Linked DNA regions of Bombyx mori. The protein of the gene in region 3 binds, or shares a complex with, the protein of the main gene of each other region. Links are inferred from orthologs where the notes say so. Each region holds a gene or a part of one and is shown on either strand. Other genes may lie near its edges. The genes, in order: serine/threonine-protein phosphatase rdgC, transient receptor potential protein and calmodulin.

Region 1 (3,652 bases), on a different chromosome or scaffold from region 3:
CTAATCTATAAATAGATACATAGACCAACTAAGTTCATACGAATGTCCGCCCGAAATGAGAATCGAACCCACGACTATCGGCGCTACCTACTCTACCAACGAGTCAGACAGTATAATCAATTTATGCACTATTAATATAAATTAATAAAAGTGACACGATATTGAAAGTTCCCCCTTTTTTTCCCTCATCAATAAGACGGAAATAGAAATAGGAAAACAATATCTGCAAATTAACTAGGTCGTCCGGCGTAACAGGCGGTCTATCAATCAAACCGTAGTGGACGCGGCGCGGCGACACCAATTATCGTGGGATGACGCGTGCGCCGCTCCCAGCGCGATGGTCGCCAGTCGCGACCTCTTCACCTAAACTACCTCCGACAACCGTTTTTTTTATTTATTGCTTAGATGGGTGGACGAACTCACAGCCCACCTGGTGTTAAGTGGTCACTGGAGCCAATAGACATCTACAAGGTAATTAATATTATAATTATAAATTTTTTTAAATGCCGATAGCCTTGAATGTCTATTTCAGCTTCACCCTGACGTTTGTAGGTGAGCTCACGGGGCTCAAACCGGAGAGTTGCTAACACTGACCCTAGCAAGAGCAGTGCTTCGCAGTAGGCAGCGGCTTGGCTCTGCTCCTGGGATAGCTGAAGTCCATGGACGACGGTATCCACTTACCATCAGGTGGGCCGTACGCTCGTCTGCCTACTAAGGCAATAAAAAAAAAATAAAAAAAACTACCACCGGATCGGAAACGCGACCCACTGAGAAGATCCGGCGAGAAACTCAGTGGGCTGTGTCTATGGGTTCATTCGCTCGTCGAGCCCTTGCGCCACCCACCTTGAGATATAAGTTCTAAGGTCTCAGTATAGTTACCACGGCTACCCCACCCTTCAAATCGAAACGCATTGTCGCTTCACGGCAGAAATAGGCGGGGTGGTGGTACCTACACGTGCGGACTCACAAGAGGTCTACCGCCAGTAAAAAGCCCCACCACGACCATCGATTACGGAAAAACAACAAAAACACAATATAGTGTACGCTGCGACCGTTAACGTGTCAATCACGCCCAGTCTATCTGACCCAGTTTCTTTCCCTACGCTCGAAAGCGAGTGCAAATTATGGCATAAATAAATACGCTCGCTTGTTGATTCATCATTAATTTCGCTTCATACAAATAATAGGCTATCAAGAATAATCGAACACGGTTTTTTTTTGTCAGGAGGAAATCGCTGGACTTCCGCCCTTTTCTGGGGATACTGGGCGGGGTATGTCAGAGTCGAACTGAGTAAAACCTCCTGTCGCTCAACAACCAACGTGCAAACCTCGCATGAGACAGAACTCATGACAAGGCAAAGGGGGGAAGGTGAAGCGTTTAGTGCGGAGCACATCTCTCCCATCACCCTCCCCCACGGGACGCCGGACTAGCGGTCGTCGGCGCCACGACCACCAGCCCTCTCGGTCGGCAGACTGTCCGAAGTCCGCCTAGATGGCGCCGGTTAGAGTGGGTTACCCTACGGAATACCCCGCTGGGCCAGAACCAGCGTGGGTCGAGGATAGCCGGCCTTCCATCACCCGGATGCTCTTGCGTAAAACGCGTGCAGAGCAGCTTGCACGTCGTCTTCTTAGGCCCCCCTCGCCGGTCCCCAGACCGACATGTGAGGGGAATCGAACACGTTAACTGACATTTTATTTTGAAAAATAGTAAAAACAAACGCGTTACAGACCATTTAAAAGTACATTCCTTAATTATCATGATAAAGGAATAACGTCATACAAGCAAGCCCATTCAATTTATTAAGCGTAATTACTAGCCGTATTATTATTAGTCCACAGGGATGGGTACCGACAACCTAACTATTTCTTCAACGTAGCAGTCATGCGACCGAACTCATGAATATTTACATAGTAATATCCAGGTGTGGACTCCTGTAACCACTTACTTGAGGACGTGTCGTAAGCTTATCCGCCCATTTACGCTTAATCTATCTATCTATATATATATACATAAAAATGAATTGCTGTTCGTTAGTCTCGCTAAAACTCAAGAACGGCTGGACTGATTTGGCTAATTTTGGTCTTGAATTATTTGTGGAAGTCCAGAGAAGGTTTAAAAGGTAGATAAATATGAAAACGCTCGGAATTAAATAAAAATAACAATTTTGTTTTTCTTTTGATGTGTTCCCCGTCGGACGGATTCCTTTTGTTTCTTTTAAGTTTATTTTATACAAAAGTTTAGGTTTTTTTATTTATCGATTGAGGCACCACGAAATCTGCCGGGTCAGCTAGTAAAGAAATATAAAAGGAAAAAATATATATCATACGATATACGAAAAGAAACCCTTCTCATTAACGTGAAACGCAAACTAGCTCGAGATAATATCCCATTATAGGTAGTGTCAATATGTCAAGGCTTGCACGAGACGGCGAAGTGGGTATTTTCCGACAAATATAAATGGATTCACCAATCTCATCAATAACAGAGGTTAATTCTTCGTTGAAAGGTTCGGTGTTGCGATGTAAAATTATTTTCAAAATATGATCTGACTAGCGACCCTCGCTTCGCTTCGGAAACTGTAATTTATTATTGATTTCTCCACTATGTAATGGATGTTATTATACATATAAACCTTCCTCTTCAATCACTTTATCTATTAAAAAAAACGCATCAAAATCCGTTGCGTAGTTTTAAAGATTTAAGCATACATAGGGACAGACAGACATAGGGACAGAGAAAGCGACTTTGTTTTATACTATGTAGTGATTCTTGATGTATTTTATTCGAATGTGGGAAAAAAAATACTTTGACTCGGATTCCGTTGACAAAAAATCAAGTTAGAGGCAAATCTTTCATCGTAAATCTATAAATGTGGAAAGAAATTGCTTCAACACTTCGAATCGTGATCCGAGAGGGTTGCGAGGATCCCACTTGATAGCGATAGTCAATGTCGCAACGAATATAGACTTGGACATTAGATATTCAAATATTCAAATAAGTGTCACGTGGTATTTTTTTGTAATTTTATTTGAAATCTCTTTCCATTAGTACTAACCTTGTGAAATATGACGAGTAGATCGTCTAGTTTTCCATGGAGATCTCCGCAAACAGTGATCTGGCTAGATATAGATGTGGTAGCCACATTGATATTGGGTAACCTTTTCAATACTTGTGTGGCCTCTTTCAGTATCTGCGCTACGTGCTTTGGATGTAAACGATGCTGTAAAGAAAGGGTATGATGAATATATTTTCAGGCATATCAAAACAAAAAGCAATTTAGAATATCAAACGTTTTAAATCTCCTTCCTGCACATTATGTTACTAAGTCTATACGAAACATGCCCGAGAACAAATTGTCTCTAAAATCTATACTCAATAACGATATTCAAAATTTCATGCATACGAAACTTACCCGAGACCAAATTGTCTCCAAAATCGATAACGATAACCAAAACTTCACGCTATTTTTTGGAAAATACATAAAAATCAGGGTTTTGGCACAAAAGACTCTTAAGGGTCGATATATACGGCGCTTCAATCTATCTGCCCCACAAATAAAAAGTTTACACGAGAATCACACGTATGTCGATTGCCATACGAACTCAATAGTGTTCCTAGAACGTTACGACTGAAAAAAATGGTTAGCCGTAC
Region 2 (4,136 bases), on a different chromosome or scaffold from region 3:
GCCTAAATGGTGAGAAGATATTAGTAGCCAATACTGCAACAATACCACAGCATACAACAAATAGTAGATTGCCAGTTGTGAGTATTCCTGAACGGTACAAATGCCATCTGTGGGTATTATAATGCATTTAAAAAATCGATTATAACTTAAAATAATATAGCTTCACCGGAATTATTGTTATTGACCGAATTCCCGTCAAAAACATCGTCAGAGTTCAATGAATTAACGCATTTTACGATTTCCCGCTGTCATCGATGAGATAAAATGGCTTTTATTACATAAAGCACTTTCAAAGTCATAAATTAGAACTCGGGCGGCTTGATGTCCAGTTGTCTTATGGAAGCTACTCATGGAACCACTTTTACTGATCAGACGCATACCCAGCAACTCTCTCTCTCTTCAACCTCTGTCACCTGGACATATACTTACTGGTAGTAGGACCTCTTGTCTGTCTGCGCGCACTTACCACCCTGTAAGTACCCAGCCTATTTCTGCCGTGAAGCAATAATGCGTTTCGGTTTGAAGAGTGGGGCAGCCGTTATAACTATACTTGAGACCTTAGAACTTATATCTCAAGGTGGGTGGCGCATTTACGTCGTAGATGTCTATGGGCTCCAGTAACCACTTAACACCAAGTGGGCTGTGAGCTCGTCCACACGTGTAAGCAATAAAAAAAACCCAATGCTCACTATATAGGTAGGTCTTTTATTTACATTCTATTCTTTTCGGTCAAGAGTTTTTCGGCAACTAGTTGGTACATAATGCGACTAACTTTTTGAGGCTCTCGTTAGCGCCTCTTACTACTAAGATAAGGGTATCCGGTTTGTGGCTTTATTTGTTCTTTATCTGGCTATGGAAATTAGTCACTGGTTCGATTAGTACGTTTCATTAATAGAGTGGACCCTGATTAAAGATTGGGTGGTAATTTAAAAAAATGCGTATTAATTCTGTTTAAAGTGTCAAAAATGCAGAATGACGGTAGTTACCAACTGATTATAACTATTTTTTTAAATAACTGTGAACTCATATACGCTAGTAGAAAAAAATATTGCAAAATATCACATCTCCTGGATACGTGGTGATTGTATTTACTAGAGGATTCTGAAGTCGTCGTGGCCTAACGGATAAGACGTCCGGTGCATTCGTGTTGAACGATGCACCGGTGTTCGAATCTCAGGCGGGTACCAATTTTTCTAATGAAATATGTACTCTATAGTTTTTGTGGTCGCGAACGATTGGGTCTTCAGGTGATCTGAACTAATCGGCCTCAGGGATCAATATCTACCCGAAAAAGGAATAACGCGATTAGGCTACAACAAAAAACGGAGACCGGAGTATTAGATAGTAGCTCATAAATAACATCCTTTTTTTTATTGCTTAGATGGGAGGACGAGCTCACAGCCCACCTGGTGTTAAGTGGTTACTGGAGCCCATAGACATGTACAACGTAAATGCGCCACCCACCTTGAGATATAAGTTCTAAGGTCCCAAGTATGATTACAACGGCTGCCCCACCCTTCAAACCGAAACGCATTACTGCTTCACGGCAGAAATAGGCAGGGTGGTGATATCTACCCGCCCGGACTCACACGAGGTCCTGCCACCAGTAAAAAAGTAGTAACTAGTTTTAGTAAGTGCCTATAACTAACAAAGTCTATCTCATATCTCTATAACAAAATCAAAGTCTAAATAATTTTACTTAATAAAATTTACTCACGATATGGCTGATGTTAAAACGAACGTGAACATTGTTCTCTTTTTTTCGTCTCTTCATTATGTTTATTTATTATTGGAAAACAACGTTAAATCACTATACACTTTGCACTTTATGAATATGCCCGAAAAAGTTTATTATTATATCGAGGGGTGAAAAGCTATTAGGATTAAACGACACTTTTGTAACTTTACAGGAGGGCCATTTAAAGTTTAAAATTCGGAAAAAGTTGGTTGAAGTTCAATTAAACATATTAAAATGTTGATACTAATCTTTATTTATATAAAAATGAATTGCTGTTCGTTAGTCTCGCTAAAACTCGGGAACGGCTGGATCAGGCTAATTTCGGTCTTGAATTATTCGTGGAAATCCAGAAAAGGTTTAAAAGGTGAGAAAATATAAAAAAGCTCGGGATATTATATAAATACAAACAATTTTGTTTTTCCTTTGATGTGTCCCCCGTCGGACGGATTCCTTTTGTTTGTTTTAAGTTTATTTTATACAAAAGTTTAGGTTTTTTATTTATCGATTGAGGCACTACGAAGTCTGCCGGGTCAGCTAGTATCAAATAAAACGGACCTCTAATTACAAGGATAAATGTGGCGCATTAAGCGAAACGTCGTTTAAACCAAATAACCTCTCATCTCTCGATATGTGTGATGAAAAAAACGTAATATCGTTTTCATAACTTTGCAACACATATGTTTCAATACGTCATTTTATCTGTATTTGCTATATCTTTCACGTATTTCCCTTTTTTATTCATAGCAAGTTTTTGAATACGATAAAATGCACACATGCATAATTGTCACTTATAGTTTTACGAATTTATAGTTTTTTTTTTAAATAACAAATCACTTCAGGTTCGTTTTAAACACTTTCGTATATAAAAGATGTATTTTCTCGGAGCGTGGTGCAAGAGAGACGATCTAAACTTGTGTCTGAAATGGAGAACTCTCTGGGGCGAATCTCCGAGTGGGGTGAATCGAACTTAGTTCAATTCGACCCGTTGAAGACACAGGTTTACGTATTCACTGCGAAGAAGGACACCTTTGTCGTGGTGCCACAATATGTCTGATATTACACACTCTCACCATGACACTGCGCTAAAACATCGCGAACGCTGTTAACGTAAACATTGACCGATTGAAAATCTTCCGACGGATATTCGTTTGATACTTGTTTTTTCTATCGAAGATCGGACAATACTAATCCCAGAGCACGATGCTCTGTTCGCACGTTCAATCTATTTTTATATTTATACGTCTGTCGTAAATGCATATGCCGAACGTGAATTATTAGAGATTTTTTTGTTGAATTGGGATTGTTAAGTTGTATAGTATACTGTGATGTCGATATTTAGAATTGAATAATCATTAATGTAAACATATAAATTCATTTATACTCGTAAAGACTTTTTTATTCTTTTAATTTATGGTTAGTTATACCGAAAAACGTGAAACAATGATAAATTACATAATTGAAGTGATTTTTGTGGCACCTCCAGATCACCTAGGAAACTGAAAATATATTATATTTTTATTATAAATAATAAAATACTGATTTTTTTTTTCTTCTTCACTATTATTACTGAAATTTATCTGCAATAACTACATACCAACTTTATTAGCATTTTATGATTCGTTTAACTATTTTCAAAATATATCATATACGTAATTATCATTCTTTCGAAGAAGACTACATTTTTTGGACAGTTCTGTAAATAATGTGCTCTGTAATTTGTTACCACCAATTATTATTAATGTTTTCGTTGAATAGTTTTTTTAATTAATTAATCGTATTACGAACCAGGAAAAGGGTTGATAATTACTAACACAAAGAAGAGGCGGAGAAACAACCTAATGCATTTGTATTTAGGCCGTATTTTTTTCGCCGAATTGTGTCCTAAAATGTCTATCTAAACTAATAAAGTTGCTTTTACTATAATAAAGTTCACGAGGTTAATGTGACATCCATAAATTTAACTATTTTATGAACAGAGCGATATAAAAAACTATGGACGACAACATTTGTAAAATTTAATTGCGAATAAGTTTGATGTTTAAAGTTTTATTATACAAAATAAAATTGGATTGTTGACTGAACAGTTTCCCGTATTTTTTTTATATTATGTTGAAACATGGTTTAAGTGGAAATAAGTTTATTATTTTATATTATGATGGGAATGCAACTTCTTTTTTTTTGCCTACCCAAGCTGATAGTCCTGAGAGGTTATTTCAGCGTAACCTAACTAGTGGGTGAGCTCACGGGGCTCAAACCTGACGACGTTGCTAACACGAACCCTAGCAAGAGTCGTGCTTCGCAAAATCTACTACCGAATCGGAAACGCGACTCACTGAGAAGATCCGGCGAGAAACTTAGTGGGCTGTGTCTGAGGGTTAATTTTTCGTCGCAAGCGACG
Region 3 (4,192 bases):
ATTTAGTTCTATAACTCAATCACAGATGGTAGTACTGTCATCTAAACAATGGTGATGTGTTTCTTGACTTGCATAAAATCGATACTTACAATCGACAATCGATTGTTTAATAAAATTGACAATTAATTTTTTCTCTTAAAATGAGTTAAAATTTTTAATATTATAATATTATAACTTTAAAACCATCTAATCTGAAAGGATGAAATGAACATTATTTAAATATAAGGTTTTACAGTACAGAATTCGTGATTGCCCCTTTAGCTACAAAAAATCTTTTTATGGAAATGATAAATTAAAGTTATAATCTGCATGCCTTTCATTACATTCATTTTCGTTTCTATAATATCTTCTACAATGTAATAAGAATCTCTTTGTGACTAGTACTAATCTTACGGGGTTCTTACAATGAATGCTTCATAAATATTTCCGACGTGTGTTTTTAATTACATCTCATTGCACACATTGTAAATAAAAATCCTCAAATAACAGTGTCAAGCTAGGTTTTTCTTGTATTATGTATACTGGAAATATATACACGAGACGAGAACAAATATACCTAGAGCCCCAGATGCTAAAAATATTTAAGATACTAAATCGAACCTGAAGCCTTTGTTTGATTTTTCAGGGTCAATAAACACGTAAACAATAAAGCGATCATAAACAATCTACAAGTTCATATTTTTAGTCTGCTTTTACGTATCTTTAAATAAAAGAGATTACTTTGGTAGGTACTATCATAATTCAATTGTCTATATTAATTGGTAGGAAATTATGGTAATTGTTTTTTTGTTTTTTAATTTTTTATTATTTCCGGCATTCCGATTGTGTGCGAATCATACGGAAGATGATATTGCGACAAGATAGGGCAACGTTTACTTTCAGTAGGAATGCGTGTGTGGGGGCGCGGCGTCGGGAAGCCCGTGTTATCTCGTTAGCGGCGCCTGCGGGCGGCACTGCGGCGCGGATCTGGGGCAGCGGCGCTCGGGAGCGGGCACGGGCGGGCGCCGCTCTCGCTGGCGTGGGGCTCGCGGCCGCAGTGACGCATTGCAGGTGCGCGGCGGCCAATCGGCGCGCGCCGGTTCGCGCTCTACGCCGCCGCACCCGCCCCTTATAAAACCGACTATCCTTTGCAGAGCAAATTTAATCCTGTGTTGTGCGTCCCGAAACATGGACTTGGACGTTCCGAGGATAATCATTGTGTAGACCGTTTCCGCCCTGCAGCTTGCGAAACTAACCTTCTCGTGAACGAAAGACGGATATGACAGTGCGACGAATCGAGTAGTCGATTCGGAACGATTCGCGGCCGAGCTCGATCCGAACCGCGATCCCGAGTTTCTCAGCGAGGCCACTCGCGCGAGTGAGGGCGGCAGTATCGTTTCAGCCGTCGGTCCGTGCGGTCGCTTTTGCGGCGTAGTCTGTGATTTTTTAGTGTAGCTCCAGATAATCCAAGTTAATCTACAATGGTGAGTGCTATTTCTATTGAAAGGTGTCGGGAGTGCCTTCAGAAGATCACGAGGAACAGTTTCCGGGTCGTATTTCGGAGAAGTTATGCATCGGTGTTTATAGTGATGACGGCCTCCATTATATTATTGTGATGGCCGTTTTTTTTACCGCATTGCGGATTCGAGAAGTATCAGAAGGCGTAACTGAAGCCTCACAGCGAGGCTTTCGAAATAGATAAACTTCAAAGCAGTGTTGAAAGCTTTAGATTTTGCGATATTTAAAAACGAGCCTATGCAGAAACAACGGTCGCCATAATCTAATAGGTGGTGCCGGTGAAATTACGTTCTTTAATTTGCAGTAGGCCGTTAATGTCGGTTGAAATGGCGCAGGGACGTCGTTGGAAAGAAAACAAATGGCTTTGTAGTTTGGGCATATTGTCGAAAGGCCGCGGCCGCTGTTATGAGGATCGATCGCCGGGCGCAACTGTCAAACGCTCGTTGACTCATCGTCATTATCTGATATTGTACCTACGTAAAACTCTTTTCGTTAGACCGTGTTGTTGTACATAACATATCATCTGCTGTGAAATTCCATAATGGTAACTAAACTTGTCGCTTTCATCGTCGTACGGTGCCACTTATAGTAACAATCATGTAAATAAGTTTTTGTTTATCAAACCAAAACTACAGCTGTAATTCTTTTTCTTTTTTTTTTCGAAAAAGTTTAACATGCTCTTGTTATATTTTAAAAGCTGAATTCTGGTGTCTTACACCAAAATTTCCTTTGCTTGAAGTTACAGAAATTAAGAATAAATCGACGCTTGAAAGGCAAACTTGACTAAGCGACTATAACTGCTTTGTACATAAATGATAAGCAATAACCATATTCAGTGCGCAACGAAAAATAAATTTGTAGGTCTATTAAAATCATTTCAATCATACAGCTAGATTCATTAAAATAAATTTTGTTTTCAGGTATTTCAACTTTAAATTAGTCTACTGTAAAGTTCACGCATTATCGCTTAGTCACGTTTGCCTTTCAAGCTTCGATATGAATACTTGAAATCACAAGGATCGGTGTAGTCCCTATTGCCTACAGTATTACAGTTTGTTCCTGACTAAATCCCTAGCCATTATTTTTTCTATTTTATTTCAGCGGAGAATACTCATACTCGTGTTTAAAAAAATTCATTGAAAGTTTTTTGCCAGTAAAATAATGGGGATTGGGTATGTGGGGTATAATGGTGATATTTTCCCTGCAGCCATTCAAAGTTTTTGTTATGATTTATTTATTGTTCTAAGTTCGCAGATCATGGCTATGAATGTATATAAATTCATACAGAAAGAATCTGCTTTTTAATCTTATTCTAATCTTTAACTATTTTTTTACATCCATTGTTCTAGTAATAACTGTGCTACTCAATAAAATGAAGTCATGAAATGTTAGCTTGAGTATAATAAATAATAAACTGGTGGTAAACATTGATAAATGCTAAATATGCATTCTCAACTAAGGATAAACTTGGTATAATTAAGTTAATATATTATTATAACACCTAAAGTGTAAACATATGTTTAAGTTAAATATTTTTGTATATATCTGAAATTATATTTTTTTCTAATGTGTTTGAAAATCCAAGGAGTTGAGATTAATCTGAAGCTCAATTTAATTGAGTTGGGAAAAAGAAAATATGAAAGAGTTTAGCACATTCTATCATACATTATGAGAACCATTGTTAGCACCTATTGGTATAATTAATAGAGGTCTTTCAATGTGTCGAGGCTTAGCGGAGGCATTCTCATACAACTCTCCAGTTAATATGTAGGACATTGTGGGCTGTAAGCTATGTTTCTCACTACATTAGAATATCTGATAATACAAATCATGTAAAAAGGGCAATATATGTGCAATATTCTTTTCTAAAATAGCTAAGGCCAAATTATCCATATTTAAATAAATGTTCAAGTGACATGATAGTGTAATATTTACCTACTAACTACAATTGGAACTAAAATTAAGATAATAAATTCTTGTGGCCCTGTCAAATGTAGCTTAAGCGATTCTTAGGCTAACATCATTTTGGTACCCTCCGATAGTGCTTAAAGAGACTATTCACATCTAATAAAAAAGAATCCATTAAGCATGTTTATGTATTAAAATTAATTTATTAAAAAGGGAGTGATATTTCAGCTCAAATGATTATTGTCTCTAACAAGCTGAATCTAAATAATAATTCAACATTAAAAAGTGTAGTTGTATCGGAATTGTACAAAAAATGTTAATTTATGCCTCATACATTTGTGTTCCTACGTTGAATCATAACTTAGGTATTTCATACCTATTGCCTACTGTGTAGAATACAACATAGTTATATCAAGTAATATTAGTTTTATTTTTACTGTGTCAATGTGAACAAGTTAGTGACTGTGCATCACTATATTTTTTAGATTTATTTGTTTAGTTATTCATGTTATTGATAACTAAAACATAGTTAAATTAAAAATATATTGCTCTTAGTACAGTAGTATCCCATTTAAGCGGCCGTGAATTCGAGATTGGACATACATGGAGCTTCTTGATTTTCCTGGAAAAAAACTGGCTCTTAGCAATGTGTCTATATTTGAATTTTGCTTGGCACTTGCTTTTCGCCCACAGACCATGACTTGACTAATCATCAAACTTTCGGCCCACAACAACCAAATTTTTTTATTATTATTGCTTAGATGGGTGGACGAGCTCACAGCCCACC

Evidence for each region.
Region 1: the proteins of calmodulin (region 3) and serine/threonine-protein phosphatase rdgC are in contact, whole or in part, in a crystal structure (PDB 8ZLW), measured with the Drosophila melanogaster proteins. The link is inferred for Bombyx mori from reciprocal best matches to the Drosophila melanogaster genes Cam and rdgC. Residues at the interface, in NP_001246276.1 of Drosophila melanogaster: Glu12, Glu15, Ala16, Leu19, Phe20, Leu33, Met37, Leu40, Met52, Glu55, Val56, Phe69, Met72, Met73, Arg75, Ser82, Glu84, Glu85, Ile86, Glu88, Ala89, Val92, Phe93, Ile101, Leu106, Val109, Met110, Leu113, Glu115, Lys116; in NP_788546.1 of Drosophila melanogaster: Asp2, Glu3, Asn4, Ala5, Ile6, Arg7, Ala8, Ala9, Ile10, Phe11, Ile12, Gln13, Lys14, Trp15, Tyr16, Arg17, Arg18, His19, Gln20, Arg23.
Region 2: the proteins of calmodulin (region 3) and transient receptor potential protein are in contact, whole or in part, in a crystal structure (PDB 7CQV), measured with the Drosophila melanogaster proteins. The link is inferred for Bombyx mori from reciprocal best matches to the Drosophila melanogaster genes Cam and trp. Residues at the interface, in NP_001246276.1 of Drosophila melanogaster: Glu12, Ala16, Leu19, Phe20, Lys22, Leu33, Val36, Met37, Ser39, Leu40, Gln42, Glu48, Asp51, Met52, Glu55, Val56, Ile64, Phe69, Met72, Met73, Lys76; in NP_476768.1 of Drosophila melanogaster: Gly804, Lys805, Met807, Glu808, Arg809, Ile811, Leu812, Asp814, Phe815, Gln816, Ile817, Val820, Glu821, Lys824.

The regions. Positions count from the first base shown.
Region 1 is NC_085119.1:7,743,075-7,746,726, reverse strand, and holds part of serine/threonine-protein phosphatase rdgC, read right to left. Parts: intron 3,222-3,652; coding exon 3,057-3,221; intron 1-3,056. UniProt on the Drosophila melanogaster protein: Phosphatase required to prevent light-induced retinal degeneration.
Region 2 is NC_085120.1:6,343,107-6,347,242, reverse strand, and holds the start of transient receptor potential protein, read right to left. Parts: upstream 2,925-4,136; 5' UTR 2,809-2,924; intron 1,825-2,808; 5' UTR 1,775-1,824; coding exon 1,718-1,774; intron 1-1,717. UniProt on the Drosophila melanogaster protein: A light-sensitive calcium channel that is required for inositide-mediated Ca(2+) entry in the retina during phospholipase C (PLC)-mediated phototransduction.
Region 3 is NC_085129.1:643,828-648,019, forward strand, and holds the start of calmodulin, read left to right. Parts: upstream 1-1,381; 5' UTR 1,382-1,460; coding exon 1,461-1,463; exon of another isoform or gene 1,464-2,038; coding exon of another isoform or gene 2,039-2,041; intron 2,042-4,192. UniProt on the Drosophila melanogaster protein: Calmodulin mediates the control of a large number of enzymes, ion channels and other proteins by Ca(2+). Among the enzymes to be stimulated by the calmodulin-Ca(2+) complex are a number of protein kinases and phosphatases.